Cricetulus griseus: one gene and its partners. The protein of the gene in region 3 purifies or fractionates together with the protein of the main gene of each other region. This does not show direct contact. Links are inferred from orthologs where the notes say so. Each region holds a gene or a part of one and is shown on either strand. Other genes may lie near its edges. The genes, in order: Wbp2, Vopp1, Wwox and Dvl2.

What was found.
Region 1: the proteins of Wwox (region 3) and Wbp2 purify together in Homo sapiens (affinity purification with mass spectrometry; 3 studies listed by BioGRID and IntAct, with this or other methods). This does not show direct contact. The link is inferred for Cricetulus griseus from reciprocal best matches to the Homo sapiens genes WWOX and WBP2.
Region 2: the proteins of Wwox (region 3) and Vopp1 purify together in Homo sapiens (affinity purification with mass spectrometry; 3 studies listed by BioGRID and IntAct, with this or other methods). This does not show direct contact. The link is inferred for Cricetulus griseus from reciprocal best matches to the Homo sapiens genes WWOX and VOPP1.
Region 4: the proteins of Wwox (region 3) and Dvl2 purify together in Homo sapiens (affinity purification with mass spectrometry; 4 studies listed by BioGRID and IntAct, counting the BioPlex papers as one, with this or other methods). This does not show direct contact. The link is inferred for Cricetulus griseus from reciprocal best matches to the Homo sapiens genes WWOX and DVL2.

What each region holds. Positions count from the first base shown.
Region 1 is NC_048600.1:128,670,099-128,674,707, forward strand, and holds the start of Wbp2 (WW domain-binding protein 2), read right to left. Parts: upstream 2,974-4,609; 5' UTR 2,875-2,973; coding exon 2,816-2,874; intron 1-2,815. UniProt on the Homo sapiens protein: Acts as a transcriptional coactivator of estrogen and progesterone receptors (ESR1 and PGR) upon hormone activation. In presence of estrogen, binds to ESR1-responsive promoters. Synergizes with YAP1 to enhance PGR activity.
Region 2 is NC_048601.1:83,978,128-83,982,857, reverse strand, and holds the start of Vopp1 (vesicular, overexpressed in cancer, prosurvival protein 1), read left to right. Parts: upstream 1-1,661; 5' UTR 1,662-1,729; coding exon 1,730-1,783; intron 1,784-4,730. UniProt on the Homo sapiens protein: Increases the transcriptional activity of NFKB1 by facilitating its nuclear translocation, DNA-binding and associated apoptotic response, when overexpressed. May sequester WWOX in lysosomal vesicles and thereby regulate WWOX role as tumor suppressor.
Region 3 is NC_048596.1:191,027,342-191,031,930, reverse strand, and holds the start of Wwox (WW domain-containing oxidoreductase), read right to left. Parts: upstream 3,191-4,589; 5' UTR 3,080-3,190; coding exon 2,973-3,079; intron 1-2,972. UniProt on the Homo sapiens protein: Putative oxidoreductase. Acts as a tumor suppressor and plays a role in apoptosis. Required for normal bone development. May function synergistically with p53/TP53 to control genotoxic stress-induced cell death.
Region 4 is NC_048600.1:83,846,343-83,850,899, reverse strand, and holds the start of Dvl2 (segment polarity protein dishevelled homolog DVL-2), read right to left. Parts: upstream 2,890-4,557; coding exon 2,696-2,889; intron 1-2,695. Other genes in the region: Phf23 (PHD finger protein 23), read right to left, coding at 4,253-4,467.

The DNA of each region.
Region 1 (4,609 bases), on a different chromosome or scaffold from region 3:
AGGTGGATCTCTGTGAAGATAGCCTGGTCTACAGAGTGAGTTCCAGGACAGCCAGAGCTACACTGAGAAAGCCTGTCTCAAAAATACCAAAACAACAACAATAAACAAACAACAAAAACAAACAAAACCCTAATATATAAACATGAGTCTAATGGGACTTGGGGATGCAGCACAGTAGTATTTGCCTAGCATGGTCACAGTTCTGAGTTCTTCCCCAGCAACACACACACAGCTAATAAATAAGTAAATAATAAAAGTATAGAGTCAAAGACATGATTCTATAGTTTCATTGGATCCTCTGAAGCTGGAGACACAGGTGGTTGTGAGCCGCCTGACATTGATACGGGGAACTAAATGGGCCCTCTGGGAGATCATATTTTTGTTGTTGTTGTTGTTGTTTCTATGTGTGTGTGTTTTTTTTTTTTTAATCCAAGCTTCTTTAGCTGGAGCTGTAGAAAATGTCTGTGGATAAAGCCCTTGAGATGTGTGTATATGCATGTGTGTGTCTGTATGTGTGCGTGCGTGCGTGCGTGCGTGTGTGTGTGTGTGTGTGTGTGTGTGTGTACTTGTGTGCTCGGTTTTCTGGGAAGAGTTCACAGCCTTTATCTCTAACAGTGGTTTGTGAATTAAAGGTTAATGTTCACTAGTTTTGGGGGGGGTTGTTTTTGTTTTTTTTTTTTTTTTTTTGGTTTTTCGAGACAGGGTTTCTCTGTGTAGCTTTGGAGCCTATCCTGGCACTCGCTCTGGAGACCAGGCTGGCCTCAAACTCACAGAGATCCGCCTGCCTCTGCCTCCTGAGTGCTGGGATTAAAGGTGTGGTCACCAATGCCCAGCTTGTTCACTAGTTTAAATATCATAAGTTTGAGCACTGCACTTACATTTCAATTATTACTGACACATGTTTCAGAAGTGAGGCTGAAGTTCTTCCCAGGACCCTATTTGGTAGCAATGAGCCAGGTGCTGAGCCCAGGAGGGCAGAAATCTTCTACATAAAAGCCAGAGTAAGTGAAGGAAAACCACTCTCAAACGATGAAGCTAAACAGCTCTGGTTGTGGTGGTACATCTCTGATTTCCCTGCTCTCAAAAGCCAGAGGTCGGATTGCCTCAGGTTCAAGGCCAATCTGGATGGAAACCATAGACTGAAAACCAGAGAGAGGGGTAGTGGTGGGGACACCACTGAATGGCATCAAAGTACTTGACCAGCCAAGGTACTGGACTAAGTACACCAGAGAATAAGGTTTCTCAGATTACATGACATAAGGGTCCAAATTCTTATGTCTCCTCCTCATCCCAAATACCCTTTCTTGGTGCAAAGGTAATAGAGGACTTAGAACACAATAAAAGAGGCCAGCTCAGGTTAAAGAAGTGATCACCAGCTGGACGGTGGTGGTGCACGCCTTTAATCCCAGCACTGGGGAGGCAGAGGCAGGCAGGAGGAACTATGTGAGTTCCAGACCAGCCTGGTCTACAAAGTGAGTTCCAGGACAGGCTCCAAAGCTACACAGAGAAACTGTCTCGAAAAACTAAGAATTAAAAAATAATAATAATAAAGAAGTGATCAGCTGGGCGTTGGTGGCGCACACCTTTAATCCCAGCACTGGGGAGGCAGAGGCAGGCGGATCTCTGTGAGTTCGAGACCAGCCTGGTTCTACAAGAGCTAGTTTCAGGACAGGCTCCAAAGCCACAGAGAAACCCTGTCTCGAAAAACCAAAAAAAAAAAAAAAAAAAAAAAAAAAAAAACTTGCTGGGCTGGCCAGAACCTGCCAAGAACTATGGAGACAAAATCAGCATTTCCAGTCTGTGTCACCCCACACCTTCTCTTCTGACTCATCAAACATTCTCAAGTGACAGGTCCCAAGATGGCTTTGACTTCGACCACGCCTCCCTTGGCCTTCAAGAAGACATTCAAGCTTGCATAGCTCAGGTCAAGAGAGTCTGATTTCCAATGTCCGAGCAAGAAAGGAAAAGAGAAGCGACAGAGAGGGCCCAAAAGTTGGAGAGGAAGAGTGGATGGTGCAGTGAGGGGTAGAGAAAAAAGAATCTTGCAGTTGAGAGACTTCTACTCTGGCGAGCGACTTAAGCCCTCAGGAATCCAAGAGAACCAGGGGAGCGAGCGAGCGAGCGAGCGAGCGAGCGACACAAGGGAGACGCCTTTACAAGGCCCGCGGGCGCCAGGCACTGGGTGAGCAGATGACAGCCCCTCAGTTCCACCTCTAGGGCCTCAGCCTTTCTCTTGGAACCTGAGAAGTTCTGGAATATACGAGGAGACTGGACAGGAGTGGTTAAGCAACTGTTGGCTTTGCGGTCAAGACTCTTGCCTCAGGTCCCATCGGTCACTCACAGCCCTAAGCCAGGTTATTCGCCCTGTGTGAGCCTCGCTTGCCCTACCGGTAAACCGTGTGGGATAGTTTCTGCCGCACAAGATTAGCTGTTATCTGAGGCAGAACCGACCCACGCCGCGCCTCCTGCCGCGTAGCAACCACGTAGTAAACGCCCAACACAGAGCAATTATTCTCGGACTCCATTTGGGAGGGGGCTCGCTGGCCTCACTCAGGACCCACGTCCCCGCCGCCCCGGCTCCCCCCCCCCCCCGGCTCCCCCCGGCTCCCCGGCTCCCCGGCTCCCCCGGCTCCCCCGGCTCCCCCGGCTCCCCCCCCTCACCCACGCCCCACCCACGCCCTCCAGCCCCGCCCCCGGCCGTTACCGCCCCCTCCCCCAGCGCTCCACCACCGCCCCTCCTCACCGCACCCCACCGCCCACCACACGGCGCCCGCCTCCGCCCCCAGCCTCCAGGATCCTTCCGCCGCGTCCTCACCTCTCAGTGTTGTTGACGATCACTCCGCCACCCTCCGAGTGATTCTTGTTGAGCGCCATAGTCTCTCCTCCCACTGGGGTCCCGAGACTCGCAGCGCTCTGCGCCTGCGCCGGTCTTCGGCCCGCCTCCAGTGGCGTCGTTCGTATTACAGCCAGCCAATCATCGCTCCTGCGCGCAGGCTGACCAACCACCTGACCTCCGATGTCACGTGGCGAGAGTTTACTCCCGCTCCCCCTCCCCCAAGTCGCACCTGCATCACAAACAAGCCGCGGACTACAATTCCCAGCAGGCGATGGTTCCCTCAACCGCGACCTCTCCTTGCGTTGAGTGGTGGTTGAATTCTGGGACTTGTAGTCTTTTTTTTAACTCTAGGACAGGCTTGCTAGGTTATTTACAAAGTCTTAAACATCTGTACGCGTCTCCCAAACCGGCCTCCTCGTGTTAAGCAAACTCAATTGGAGAGATGTAACTTAAACGTGGTGACTTGGTGTGTGCCACCTTTAAACCACTTAATGAGCCGCCTTCGTCCTCGCCCATACTCTTGGCTGTGCGAGACGTAGCCCTGTCTAAGGTGGACTGGAACAGTCCCAGCAAAATACGCTTTAATCACCTCCAACCGTGACCCCGCGAGTCGGACAGTGTGAACTTCTGGGGAGAGTGATCGGCTCCCCACCGTCCTCCCCACCGTCCTCCCCGCCCCCTGCACCGGCCACCCCTGCACCGGTCCCCTGAACCGCCCCCCTGCACCGCCCCCTGCGCGGCTCCCTGCGCCGCCCCCTGCACCCTCTGGCCTCACGATGGCGCTGCGCCCTCTCAGTCTAGCTCGCTAGTCTAAACAGCAGGACTTTGAAGACCCAGGCGTGGGTGTCTGTCCACTACGTTGCAGAGAATCTGAACTCCATCTGAGGTGGCTCTTTCGCGGGCCGGGAAGGACTGCGGGACGTCCTCACTATCCCTAGATCTGGGGGATCAGGGTTTGGTCCCAAGCAGACAGCATAGCGGTTCACATCCCAGCATTTGGGAGGCTGAGGCAGGAAGCTGCGGCAAATTGGAGGTCAGCTTGGGTTGCATAAGGATTTCCAGTCCAGCCTCAGCTATTGTAAGACGCTGTCTTTAAAAAAAAAAAGTGGTGGTGGTGTAGCGTGTGTGCGTGTGCGTGTGTGTGCGTGTGCGTGTGTGTGAATAGATGGCTCAGCAGCTGAGAAGGAGGGGTCCCGAGATTGCTTTCCAGCACTGAGGTCAGGCGCTGACGTCTCTGGCCTTCTCATGCATCATATATATATATATATCATAGATGTGCACACATACACATCATTAAAAACTAATGAAAACACATTTTAAAAATGTTTATTTCCACTTTATGTATGTAACGGGTTGTCTGCATGCATGCATGTGTACTACAGTGTGTACAGGAGCCGCAGGAGGACACAGGAGGGTGTCACATCTCTTGGAGCTGCAGATCCAGATGGTTATAAACTGTTTGTATGGGTGCTGGCAACCAAATTCGTGTCTTTTGCAAGGACAAGTTATCTTGGCTGCTGAGCCACCTTTCTGGTCCCATAAAGTAAGTCTTCTTTTAAAAAAAGTAAAATCCAACTCTATACGGTAATATACAGAATGTTGAAGAAATACACTTTTATTTGCATAAAAATAAGATACTGATAGTCTTCAGGCAGGAATTGCAGCACTATCCCTTTGAGACACAGTTTTGGGAATTTCGGGGTGACTCAGTGCAAGGAGTCTTTTGCATTCTTTAGTTTTTTTTTTTTTTTCTGGGTACACTCTCATAAAAGT
Region 2 (4,730 bases), on a different chromosome or scaffold from region 3:
GAAAGTGGTGGTGCACGCCTTTAATCCCAGCACTCGGGAGGCAGAGGCAGGTGGATCTCTGTGAGTTCGAGACCAGCCTGGTCTACAAGAGCTAGTTCCAGGACAGCCTCCAAAGCCACAGAGAAATCCTGTCTCAAAACTCTCCCTCCCCTCCAGGAAAAAAAAAAAAAAAGATTTGTAAAGAAGGCAGTTACCACAGTCCAGTAACCATTTGCAGGCTTTGAGTCAGTCCTGTGTGCACACAAAAGTTCCCCCAAAGAAACTACTTCTAGTAACCAGAAAGCTAAGAATATCATCAGGGCCAAAGAAGAGACTTTCGTGCTTCGCTGTAACCAACCCACTTAATGTTTCCACCAAAGGTCTTAATTTTTGTCTTTCTTTATTCTGTTACTATAAAACTTCATGAAACTATCACTGTATGGAACATGGAACTTGAGGTAACCACGAGGATTTTTTTCCTGCTTCACTTGCCAGTTGTAACAGGTATAGTTTGATGGTGCATTCTCTATCTTAACCAAATAAGTGCTTGTACCTAAAGTTGGCAAAGTATTTAAGACTTGCCCCATGAGTTTATTTTTGTAAACTTCTTCCTTCCATACTTGTTGGAGGGGGTTCTGTCATTTATCCAACACGTTATTAAACAAAATATTCAGTTTAATTCATTATTTGAGTGTGTGTGTTTCTGTGTGTGACGTGCTTGTATGAAGGCATGCACATATGCCACGTGCCCATGTGGAGGTACAATGAGTCCATTCTTCCTGTCTTAGAATTGCAGGGTGGAATTCTCTTCCTCAGGCTTTCCTGGCAAGCATTTTTACCCTGCTGAAGGCTCTCTCTGAACCTAAAGGACTGGATTTTCCTGATCTCTGCACTCAGCACCCTGTATCACAGTTGTTTAAACTAGATCTCTTTAGACTCCCTCCGTGAGCTGTTTTCTTGTCCACCTCTATGTATTGGGCCTCCAGCGCAGGTCTGATATCTTAACAAGTTCAACCAATGCTTCAGCAATTTCTGGAATCAGGTGGCAGCCGAGCCTGGTTGTGGAAAAACAAAAGACAGTGTCTGCGAAGCAAGTGACAGTGGACACTGCTGTCAGCAGCAATTGTGAGGTAAAGGGGCCTACTTCAAAGGTGATGCACATTGTGGGGTCCAAAGGTGAGGTCCTAGCACAGCCCGACAAAAGGGTGTTGGCATAAACCTTACACCGCCAACCTTTTGCTGTCCTTTCCTTGCGGTTTAACTGTCCTTTCCATCAAGCTGGGTCAGGGTGAGCTGCCCACCTCACCTGTAGAAACCACAGTGACAATGTCTCCGGAGGGTAAAAACTTCAGGACGTTCCCGGTGCTGGGCTCATCCGTGTGCATCCCCCAGCACCCCCAACACGGCGTCCTTTAAAAACCATTCCCAGAACTAATGGAGATGAGACAAGGCGGTCTCCTCCGGGAGAGGAGACACCTGGCAGTCTTCGCACCGGGCCGGCCCGCCCGCCGTCCCCGCGTCCCGCAGCGCGCCCCACAGACCTTGCCGGCTCCGAGCCCGCGAGCGCGCGCCCGTGCGGTGGGTCGGCGCGCGCGGCGAGGGCCCGGCACGTCCTCGAGCTCCGCCGGCTTGCGGCGCGTCCTGGTGCCGGCGTCGGCCGATCTCCCCGGAGTCTGCACGCCGGTCCCGGGGTGTGGACCGGCTCGGAGCCCGCCGTGCAGCCGGGCTTCGGACGGGCCTCGCGGGAGCCATGAGCCGCCGGCTCGGCAGGGTGGCGGCGCTGCTGCTCGGGCTGCTGGTGGAGGTAGGGCCGCCGGCTCCCGGCGCCTTCCGGAGCGAGGAGCGGGGACGCGGGAAGGGCCGTTGCGGGGCTGGCGGATCTGCCGTGCGAGGTGGCGGAGGGGCCTGGTGCCGGGACCCCCGGCCCTGCCCGCGCGCCGCCGCCGCCTCCCGTCTGCGCCCGGGTTGGGGAGGGACCTTTGTGCGTGTCCACACGCGCTCACGGGGCCTGGGCCGGCCCCAGCCGCGGCTGGAGGGACGCAGGGACGCAGGGACGGAGGGAAGAGGACACTTCTGCTCTTGGAAATGAAGTGCCCGCTTTTAGAGGCCGGGAGAAAATTCCTCGGGGAGCTTGGGTGGTGGTGGTGTACTGAGGGGAAGCCGCGGCAAGTTGACGGTGGGTGGGAGCGCCGCCGAAGCACAGCCAGACCGCGACCGCCGGCGACTGAACCGCGAGCGACATCCTGTGACGCCAGACACCCTTCCTGCGCCAGCGGGTTCATTCAAAGGCAAGAGAGTGTGGACTTGGGGTGTGTAAGCTCTGACGCGGGGTTTGTTCGCTCTCCCACAGCTTCACCATTTCGAGAGAATTTTTCATTAGTAAAGGCAGTGTAAGTGGGGAATGATCACCCCCTGACTGTCGCGGTCCTGCCTTCGAGACCCGTAAAACGCCCTTGGTTGGGGAGTCAGCAGTGCTGGGAAGACTTAACTGGTCTTCTCAGACGCTCGCGGGAAAGGAAGTCTTAGTTCTTTAGAAAGGAAGGTTAGTGGAGCAGTTTCTCCTTGCTTCAAGTCCCAAAACGGAGCAAAGATTGCTTGCTTCTCTCTGAAATGTTTCTTACTAGTGTTTTGTTTTGTTGTTGTTGTTGTTGTTTTTTGAGAAGTGCCACCTCTCGTTTTTCTTCCCACTTGCTCAGATTTCAAAAACGAAATCTCTGAGTGGTGATTCAACATTGACTGCTGTGGAAAAGGGAACCAGAAGCCAACGTTTACAAAAGTAAACATGTGTTTACGTTAACACATCTCTGCCAACTTTTGTAATTCGGTAATCTCGTGTGTGTGTGTGTGTGTGTGTGTGTGTGTGTGTGTGTGTGTGTGTGTGTGTTTTAACAATGCCTGATAACATTATTTAGGTTCTCTTGTCTCTCATGTGCCCACTCCTGTGTCATAGCCTAAAATGCTGCATGCCGTGAGGTGGGGTGTTCTTGCTGTTTGTGTTTTTTTTTTTTTTCTATCTTTTTGTATTCCAATGATGTTTATTGAGGAAACGAACCGTAGACTGTTGGATAGGCATGCCAACAGTCAAGGGCTTTGCATTCAAGGCCTGGAAATGGAAAAACTGTGTTAGCTTTGGGGGGGGGGCAAAGTAACCCCAAGCATGATGTGATTGTTGTTTGTCATCAGTTTTTATTTTCAACTTTTTAATCTACTGCTTATGGTGGTGTTGTCTAGAATTGCAGGAATGGGCTCTTCCCCCCCCCCCTCTGCTGATTTAAAGAATAAGAAGGCAGTAAAAACAAGCCAAGTTTTATTGCAATGAGAAACACATGCAGGGCAGGGGAAGGGAGAGTGAAGGGATAGAGGGAGAGAGAGAGAGGGAAGGAAAGAGAGGAGAGAGAGAGAGAGAGAGAGAGAGAGAGAGAGAGAGAGAGAGAGAGAGAGAGAGAGAGAGGATGAACAGAAAGAGACAGTCTCCCAGTGGGGAGGAGATCCAGACCTGAAAACCAGAGTTTATCTGGCAGAGCTAAAACTTATACTGGGAATGGGTTGAGTTTTCCCTTTCTCCTATTGGCCAGTTTGGCTAGTGCAGGAGATTGGATAATCCAGACAAAGAAACAGAAGCCGATTGGCTCCTACTATAGGAGCTCTCACTCCCCCCACCCCCCTTGTTGTAGATTTGAAAGCCTACTGAATACTTTCAGGCAGGAAAAAGCCCACTATCTAGTCTTGGTGAGGGAGAAGGAACAGGAAATCAGTTGTCTCAAACGTTCTAGTGAAAAGTATATTAATCTACTTAGAACCTCTTTTACCTGTCTGTCTGCCTGCTGGGCATCTGTCTGGTGCCTAATCCTTTAGTGTAGAAGGTTTTGTTCTATCTAGTTAGCTGTTTTGTTGCATAGGAATTTTTTTCAAATGTTGAGGATGGAACCCAGGTCCTCAGGGCCTTGAACATGGTAGTCAAAGGGAGCACTTTTTTCCGGTTCATTTAGTTTTATTTATTTTTTCTTAGCTGCTAGAGACTGAACCTAGGTCTTACACATGCTAAACAAGTACTCTATCCAGCCATAGTCCCTGTTTGCTTTTTAAGATAGAATTGTCCTATGTAGCCCAGGGCTTAGCCTCCCAAGTGCTGTCATTACAGGGATGGGTCACCATGTCTGGATGGACCTTTTTATCTTAATAGGGAATTTAAAACTTCTCTGAAGGATTGAAAAGACCCCAAAGGAAGAACTCTTGTGCTTTCACAAACTGCACTGTCTGCGTGCTGATAACATGTGTTTTCTAGGTAGCCCGCTTACACATGATGGCCATCCTCAGTACTTGTTTCTGGTAGAGAGGTGTGCCTCAAGGGTTAGCAAAACAAGCGTATGGTTTGGCAAGCACGGCGAAAGGAAGCAAGATCAGGCAATCCAAATACATAGTAAGGCAAGGCAAGGCACGAAAAGGAAGGGGAAGGGAAAGGAGGAAGAGGCACATGAAGGAAAGGAAAGGAAAGGGGAGGGAAGGAGAGGACAGGGAAGACATGCACATGGCAAGGGCAGGAAAGACTGGCAAGGCAATTTATCCCATGCAAGTTTAATGTGAGGCTTTAGTCTGGGCTTTTCCATCTTAAATTGTCTGTTTTGCATATCTTACTTGCATACTTTAGATGCCTTTGATGTCCTGTATCACCTGCTGAACTGTGCAGTGACATTACAGTGTGTGTGAGGAGACAGAGTCTTGGTGAGGGACATTAAAACAATTAGGGAAGG
Region 3 (4,589 bases):
ATTTGAGATGCCAAGAACCAAAACCAGTGGTAAGTACAGGTGGTTGGAACAGCATAGTCTAATAAGGTCTCTAAAACAGAGAAAGACTCTGCACATAGAGGTCCAAGTAGGAGCAGCAAATATTGGATCATAGATACGCCTGTACCCCTGAACCTCCTGCTCATGCAATCCACTTCTCCAGAGCCACTCATTCCTTCTAAAGACACAAACTCAGTGTCACACTCAGGCTCCAGAGTCTAACAAAAGGGTCCCATGTCCTCAGTGAAGCACAGAGGGCCTCTGCAAACTGATTCCTTCCTCAACAGTCTCAGGCTTTACAACCTTGCACCACAGACAGAGGCCTGCCTAGGGTCCCTCTTCCTCCTGTCCCTTCCACCTGTCTTACTTCTAGCCACATTGACCCACCTTCTACCTGTGCTCTGAGACACAGGCCAAGTGACACCTCTCCTAGACAGCCTCCCTCACCCATTCACACACACACACACACACACACACACACACACACACACACACACACACACACACACACACCTCATGCTGGACAGACTATGCACTCTATCTAATTACAAGTCATCTGCCTGGTTTTACAGAGCTCCTCAATTAGTTGGACATCACCAGTGCCCACCAAGGGACCTGGCTCTTCAGGGCTCTATGCTCTTGAATTAATGAACTCACCAGTTTTTCCATTTTCTGTTTCTTCCTACCTGGCTACCAGGGGCAGCAGTGATCCGTACCCTTCCCTTCAGTAGCTGAAAATCTTATGGGGAGTTTGTAACCTATCAATGGAGAGACTCCAGGGCACAAACTAAGCCTTAATTTGATAAGCCAGGAACCAGGTAGGGTGGTACAAACATGTGGTTCCATATCTGGAGGCAAGAGGCAACAGGATCAGAAATTTAATGTCATCCCTGTCTACATAAAGAATTCTAGGCAAGTGTGAGTTACAAAACACTGCTGGACAAACAAAACTGTATCACTATGCCACTAATCCCAGAGGACAGAGGATTTCTGTGAGTTTAAAGCCAGTATGGTCTACATATTTTTTAAATTAATTAAATATTTAAAACTAAAAATACAAATTATAGGTGTTATTACAATAATTTGTTTCCTAGCACTGTGAAAAGACTGAATCTCCTAGATTTTAAAAACATAAAGGTAGGTGTGTTCGTATACACTTGTTGACCTCAGGAAGTAGAGAAAGGAGAATCAGAAGCTCAACCTCAAACGCATATCAAGTTAATTAAGGCCAGCCTGGACTACATGTGACCCTGGTTTAAAAACATATTTCACAAACACATAAGAAAGTAGAGGGGGAAGTTTTGAGAAGAGGGAGAAAATCGGGGGGCGGGGGATGGACCAAAACAGAGTAATGGGGGACCCTGAACACTAGGAAAGTACACAGTATACATATGATAAAGAATGCCATAAAACCCGGGGAATAGGAGGTAGGCAGTCTCCTGGGTAGGCTGGCAGATAGGGAGAGCGGCCTACGTAACAAAGGTGTGGACTTCCAAAGGCCAGCTTCTTCCTCACCATCCTTAATGAGACAAAAGCCTGACATCTTAAAACAAAGGCCTTGTGTGATTTTTCCTGCCAGCAGGCCCCTGCTCAACAAGTTCAAGTCCAAATCAGGGCATGTTACCCAACAGCTGTGGGTCAATCAACCATCTTATCTTTCTTCAAACTGGCCAACTCTTATGTTAGAGAAGGAAAAATTTCAAAGACAAGAAAGAGGGGGGGTAGAGAAATGGGGAGGGAGGGATGGAGGGAGGGAGGGAGGGAGGAAGGCAGGAGAGGGAGGGAGGGAGGGAGGGAGGGAGGGAGGGAGGAAACCCTCAAAAAGAAGCTGTATTTTTTGGCTTCCAGAACCCCCCCTCATAGTCTGTCTTGCAGAGGGTCAGTTTATCTGCTGTGTGAAAGTGTTCCCCTGCTCCCAGCCCTCAATAGATGCTTTTCAATTAATGATTCGGCCTTCTGCTGTTGGAGGTATTGGAGATTTCTCCATTACCACCTGTTGTGTTGGAGATTTTTCCTGCTTTTTAATTCTTTAGCTGGCAGAGATGAACCCAATCAAGACCCCTAACTGTATCAAAACCCATGACTTTGTACATCAAATACGTACTTGTTAAAAATGAGCAGATTCGCCCCAACTATAGAATCAGCTGCAATAGGTTCTCTATAGAAACTCAGTGTATGTATATAAGACACTACCCAGATACTAGGGGTGGAGGATCTGGGTCACCCAGGCCTACACACACGGTGAGACCCTGTAAAGACAGGTGGATCTGTGAAAGTTCGAGGTCAGCCTGGTCTATTTAAGCTAGTTGCAGGCCAGCCAGGTTTCCTGTCTCAGAAAAAAAGGATGGGAGTAGGAGGAAGGAGACCACATACGTAATTCCAACATCAGGCCTAAGCAACTCTTGCCAGAGATACAGTCCAACTAATGCCGGCACAACGGGAGATCTACAACCCACAAGCCTCTCCACTGAGTGCCTTATGCAAAGCACTGAACTCATTCTTGTGTCAACTCATTTTACTGACGGGAAAACAGACTATCAGTCCTGGCCGTCAGTGGCCCGAGGTCACGATTAGTAATTAGAAAGGCTCTGCTGCAGTTTCCAAATCTTCCCTGGGAAACCACTGTGAGCCACCCAGGACCTCTGTTTAAAAATACAGACTGCTGGGTCTCCAACCCGGGTCCCCTTGGCGGGAACTGGGTATTGAAGTTTGCTCCATTTCCTCCTTAGTAAAGACCCATGAGCCATCAACGCACAGTGCAGTGCCACCTAATGAGCAGCAGGGGGCGTGCTGCAGGGGGCCAGGTGACCTGGTCTTGACCCTGAGCCCATAAGGATGGGGAACCCGGGACAGGTGGCTGGCAATCTGGATGCGCATGCCCACCGGGCTGGACAGCACAGGATCCAGGCCTCCTAGGGCACGGGCCCCCGCGAGCGCCGCTCCAGGCCGCTTACTTGGCGTAGTATACCCAGCCGTCCTTGGTGGTTCTCTCCTCCCAGCCCGGAGGCAGCTCATCCTCACTGTCCGTGTCGTCCAGGCCGGCGTAGCGGAGAGCTGCCATGGTGGAGATACAAGTATTCACCGGGTCACCTCAGCAACTCACTCTACCTTCAACCGCGCCGCGCGCATCAGGGGCCCCCTCCCCCCGACCGCACGCGCCTGCGCACTGCTCCACCAGCCGATCCGCAGCTGCAATCCAGTTTCCTATTTTCGCGGCGACTGGCGGGAAAAGGGGCGGAGCCTGAGGAGAGAGGTGGTGGAAGCTCAGAAGAGACCAAAGGGCCCTGCGGCTGGAAGGAAAGACAGGAACGGCTCAGAAACTGGAATAAGCTTCTTTACCCTCCTGAAAGGGGCGTGCTCACCCATTCACGTCTCTGGACTCCGCCCGTTGCTGGGCGACCCGAAATCACTTCCTCATTGTTTTACCCAATCTTGAATGAGTCCCAGCCATGGGGTATCTTGGGAAATGTAGTCCAGGCTCAACGGGGCTTTAAAGTACAGCAAAAAAGAAAGGGTTCTGATGAGGTTGTCCTGGGCTCCAGGTTCTTCGCTTGCAGGTGTGTATGCTCAGTCAACATTGAGACTCGATACTGTGACTTTGTCATATACAAAATTTATGCTGGAGAACCGCTCAAATTTTGAAAAGGAAAAAGAAAAATCTCACAATATTTGAAGTTTACTATTTTTGTATTGGGCCGTGTTTAGTATTATCCTGGGCCACATGCTGACATGAACCTCAGGATGGACACACCTGTGAGAGTAAATATCCGACGTAATACTATCAGGGTTTTTCCATTCACAAGTTTCATTGTGCTTGTAAACTCGACATTTTAAAAACTATCTATACTGTACAGAACTTAAAAATACAAGGTCTAGACACCTGCAGTAGCTCACGCCTATAATCCCAGAATTTGGGAGGCTAAAACAGAAGGATTACACAAGTCTGACACCAGCCTATACTATAAAAGGAGGCAATGTCTCCAAAGATACAAAAAGTACAAATTCTCATTTCTCTAGATTTTCCATTAGAGAGAATGGTCTTCCAAGCATGATGGGCTTCTCTCATTCATAGGCACTACCTAATTACAAACTCACAAAGTAGGCTTTTAAAGAACTTGACAGGAATCCTGTCTATATCCTCAACCCAAATCCTACCCTTCAGCTTGTCCTTGCTGAAGGAAGTTTCCCAAACATGCCCTACTGATAACTTGTTTCCCAAGGCTGTGTGACAGAGAAAACTTCTGGACCAGGACTGAGAGAATACCTGCTTCTATAAAAAGACTGCATATTTTATGGGTGAGTTAGGGATACTGACAGTGTTGCTTTTGTCTTCAGGTCCTAAAAATGATCATTGCTGTGAGATAGCTCCTCCCTCTCCATAGTCTTTAGGGGCAGACACACTTCCCTGAACATAATACAGTGAAAAGCTAACTTACTGAAAACAACATTTAGGGTCTTTTTTTCCCCTCCATATGTGTATGTGTGTGAAGTGTACATGTGTATGTGGACACGCATGTGCACAGGCTTGAGGAGGCCTGACGTTGATAAAAAGATTATCCAATTGCTTATTC
Region 4 (4,557 bases), on a different chromosome or scaffold from region 3:
CGTGTACTCCTCTGCTGTTCCACAGCCTTTCAGTTCTAATTCACACCCAGAGACATCCAAATGTGTGGCCTTTGCTAGGTGAAAACACCCTTCAATGTGACAGTAACACTCCACACCAGGAAAGCGCCCACTGAGAGGGGATGAGAGGCTTCCCGTTTCCTGGCTGCCTCATCTCACTAAGCAATCTGCTCAGCCTGAAACATCCTGAAGCCCAGCCTTGGTGGCCAGCCTCCCACAGGCTCCCGCCTCGGATTAAACTTGTTCCTTCTCAATACCCACAAGAAATCATTAGCACCTACTCTGTTCAACATGTGTCCTGGGTGTGCAGCACCAGCCTTGATACTTAGTAAGCATTAGCAAATACATGGTGACAAAATATGAGCCATGAGGCTTACTTTCACATACACAACACCCTCACCTTCAAATTAGAACTTCTTGTCTGGGGGCTGGCTTAGTGAGAGTTGGCTTGTGGTTAAGAGCATTTATCGCTCTTCCAAAAGGCCCCAGGTTTAGTTTCCAGCACCCACATAGTGGCTCACAACCATCTGTAACTCCAGTTCTGGGCTCTGTCTCTTCTAATGTTCACAGGCACCAGGCATGCACATGATATACATACATGCAGACAAAACACTCATATACATAAAAATAATGAAAAAATTAAAATAAAACCTCTTGATTGATTAACACTAGCCTAATATGCTCTGGGGGCCTTGGGTATATGCCACATTTTGAAGGTATATTCCTCATATATTAGCTGCCAAGACAACATAGCCCAGTCACCAGGGGTCTGCTCAGTGTATACAACTCTTCCCAACATAACCCAACCTCATCAAACCCAGCGTGGCCCAGTCTCCTCCAAAGCAGGCAATTTTGTATCACTATAATCTAGTCTATGAACTAGTTAGCCTCAATACTAAATGAAAATTACCAGCCACCAAGATTTACCATGTGCTTGCACCTAAATTAAGTATTTTACACTATGATTATCATCATGCCACAGATGAAGAAATCAAAGCACAAAAGTTAAATAGATTGCCTAAAATTATAATGCAAAAAGAAGAACCAAGATTCAAATCCAAGACAACCCCCTAGATAGTATCACTCTGCCCATGTCGAAAAATCTTCAGTGAGAGTCCAGTTTGTTCAGTTCTAGCTAATGGGGAATGTGCTCCAACCACAGGTAAGGAGCCTTGCTCCAACCCAGGTGGTAGATAACCTTTTTCTCCCCAGTACCCTGCTATCCTTGCTTATGCCAACTCAGAACATCAGAATCCAATGCACTCTATCTTCAGACCTTGAGCCTGAGGACACACAAGACTCGGTCTCAATAGCTACAAAACAAAAGGCTGCCTTACTCAAGAGTTCTACTCCAGCCCAGGATCACCCAGAATGTCCCAAATTACCCCAGAACAACCCCCATCTAATCTAGCAAAGCCCCAGTGCCTCCACACAAGCAGCTGTCTGCACCAGTACTGATTGCAATACCCCAATACAATATGCACGGACTCCACCAGCCTATTCCTATCTTGTAACACAGTAAACCCAGGTCTGGGCCAGGTATAGTGTCACACACCTCTAGCCTCAGCATGAAGGATGCAGACATAGAGGCAGGGCTGCTACAAATTCAAGGTGAGTCTGTTCTACATTGTGAGCTCTAGGTAGCTTTAGTTACAGGATGAAATCCTGGCTCAGCAGTTAAGAGCACTGGCTGCTCTTCCAAAGGACTGGAGTGCAATTCCCAGCACCTAAATAGAGGATAACATATACATAACTCCAGTTCCAAGCGATCCCAAGCCATCTTCTGGTTTCTGAGGCATTGCATGCTTGTAGTGCACAAATATGCACGCATGCAAAACACCCATACACATAAAATATCTTTAAAATAAACAAACAAACCTCCAATTTCCCCCGTAGGGGGAGGGGAATCTACTCCTAAGAGAAAATAAAAAGAACCCAGTAGAGTTCAGAAGGTTGCAAACTTTGCCAGAAAAAAATCTATTCAAAACAGTCCAACCTATCCCCGACAGACCTCTCTGCATTATTTCAGATCTCAAAATAATACTATGGGACCTAATTAATAAGCCAGGATAGCCTAAATTGTCTAAGTATAGCTCAATCTACATAATGACACTGCATGCCCAGCATATTGGCTCACACCTGTTAACTCCAGCTCTCAAGGCTGAAAGCAGGAACTCCATGAGTTCGGAGCCAGCCTAGGATACAAAGAGTAAGGCCTGTCTCAAAACAAAAGACCAAATCAAAACCAGCAAACAAACAAACAAACAAAATAACCCTACAGAATATTCCTATACAATCCTTGTGAAGACGTCTGAGAACATACCAGACAACCAAAAGATAGTTGAATCTAATCTCAGCACAGCCTAAAATATCCTCAAGCATCGCCTCTTAGCCTTGTGGCTAAAATCAAGTAGAGAGAATGGCCAAACAAACCAGTGTGCCCCATTATTCCAACCTAATTTTCTTGCCTCTGGTTTACTGAAGTCCAGCCCGTTCTTCCCAAGCTCTGTGTGTCCAACCTTGTCCGTCTTGGGATGGGCGATCTACTCTAGCATAGTACAATATGCTATGTTCTACAACAGGCCAGAAAAATTCCAAGGCAGTCCAGTCCCCCTCAAAATCGCCCAATCCATTCCAGCACATCCATCGTCCTTCCCAGTCTAGGCCTCACGCTTACCCAAAATCCTGATCCATAGACTTGAAAAAGTACTTAGCGCCCGCGGGCCGCTGCAAAACGCTCTTGAAATCGCCGAGGGTGATGCGCTCCGCCGGGACAGGAATCTTCACCAGGTAGGGAGTCTCTTCCTCATCCAGATGGTAAATCACCTTCGTCTCGCCTACACCACCGCCCCCCGCGCTGCTGCCCGCCATGGTCTCGCTCGCGCGCTCCCGGGCTCAGCCGCCCACCCAACAGGACTAAGCGCCCCCGCCGCGCCTGCGCACACCCGCAAATTGACGTGCTAGCGCCGACAGGGCAGGGCCAGTGCGGGAGACGCGCCCAAGGAGGACGGCGTGGAGCAGCAGGGTGATAGCTTAGAGCCGTGGAGCGAGACCCAGAACCCTGGACCCCACAGCCGAGGTCCAACACCACCACCTACGTCGCGAACAGTATCGAGGTCCCCGCCCACCTCTCCCCATGCCACGTGACACAAGCCCGCCCACTTTGCGCAGCCGACTGCCCTCACGTGATCCGCTCGTGTCACGTGACTGCGAAGCTCCGCCTAGACACTCACGTGATCGCTGCCTTGAGCAACGGTCTTCAGCCCTAGAAGACTCCGCCCCCAAACGTGTACCCCGCCCCACACCAAGTACTATGGCCAACCCCGTTGACTCTTAGAATGCTGGCAACTGGCTCCCACTGTTTTACCCATCCCAGGCCCAGAGCTCAAAGCACCTCAGGTGCAACTATGGGGGTGTGGGAGGGTACTGGTAAATCGAGAACTGCAAACCAACTTGGACCTCTAGGACGACTTCTGGTTTGAGAACGCTGAAAACTAGACCTTTCAAGATTTGACTTTTGAGTGAGAGAGGGTGATGGGGGATTCAGTGTCTCATGTAGTGGAAGCCAGCCTTAGCCCCTAAATTGTCTCCACCTCCCAAATTGTGGGATTATATCTCTGGATCATAAGAGTCGGTTTCAGCCCTAATTACATCGAGACATCTGCCAGGTCCCCTCCCCAAATAGGACAACGAGGATTGTAAAACACAAGAGCCCACTCTGCTTTATTTACAACACGCTGGCTGTCTGTACAAGCAGCCAGCCAATATTATTAAAAATGAGGCTAGTGATAATTGACACCTTTTTGCTTTTCTCCCCCACTCCACCAGCTATGGTACTCCGCCTTTGAGCAACCACTTTGCTCAAACATGGGAGCCCAAAATTAAAAACAACCGGTGTAGAAGAAAGCAAATGGGAGTGAGAGAGAAGAAAACATGAGGGAGTGCTGTATTTACACTACAATTTTATAGACAACTATCCCATTACATCCCAGTTTGAGCCCTGGCCCTGAAAGTCAAAGGGTGGTAGGTTGACTGGACAGAGACTTGTCTACAGATCCAGCCTCCCCTGACCCAGATGTAATGGGTCTAATTCAAGTCCATGGAGCAGGAAGGACAGCGTACAAGACACTCAATTCCAAACAAGTCTCCCTCGGGAATTCCTGCTTTGAAGAGGCTGAAGACTCTGAGCCTCAGTTCCCAAGTAAAGTCACAAGTTCCAGCCTCAAGAGTGATGTCAAGGTTCTCCCGATTTGGGGAGACCCCCTAACCGCCGGGCCTCTGGCCGAAGTTCCTTGCATTTCTGGCAATAAAAGAAGTCAGGAACATTGGTCTTCTTTATCTTAGCACAGGAGAGGTGGATCCACGTCCCACACAGGCTGCACTCGATCATGGGCCGCCCAGCAAAGGGCTTTCTGCAGTAACACGTGATCAGATCCCATGAGTCATCACCTGGAAAGACAAAGTTTGTTTAGTGTTTAAGGGTTGGCTCACAATATCTCCCAAACCCATCATCCCAGTTCCCCATCCTGGGCAGCCCTA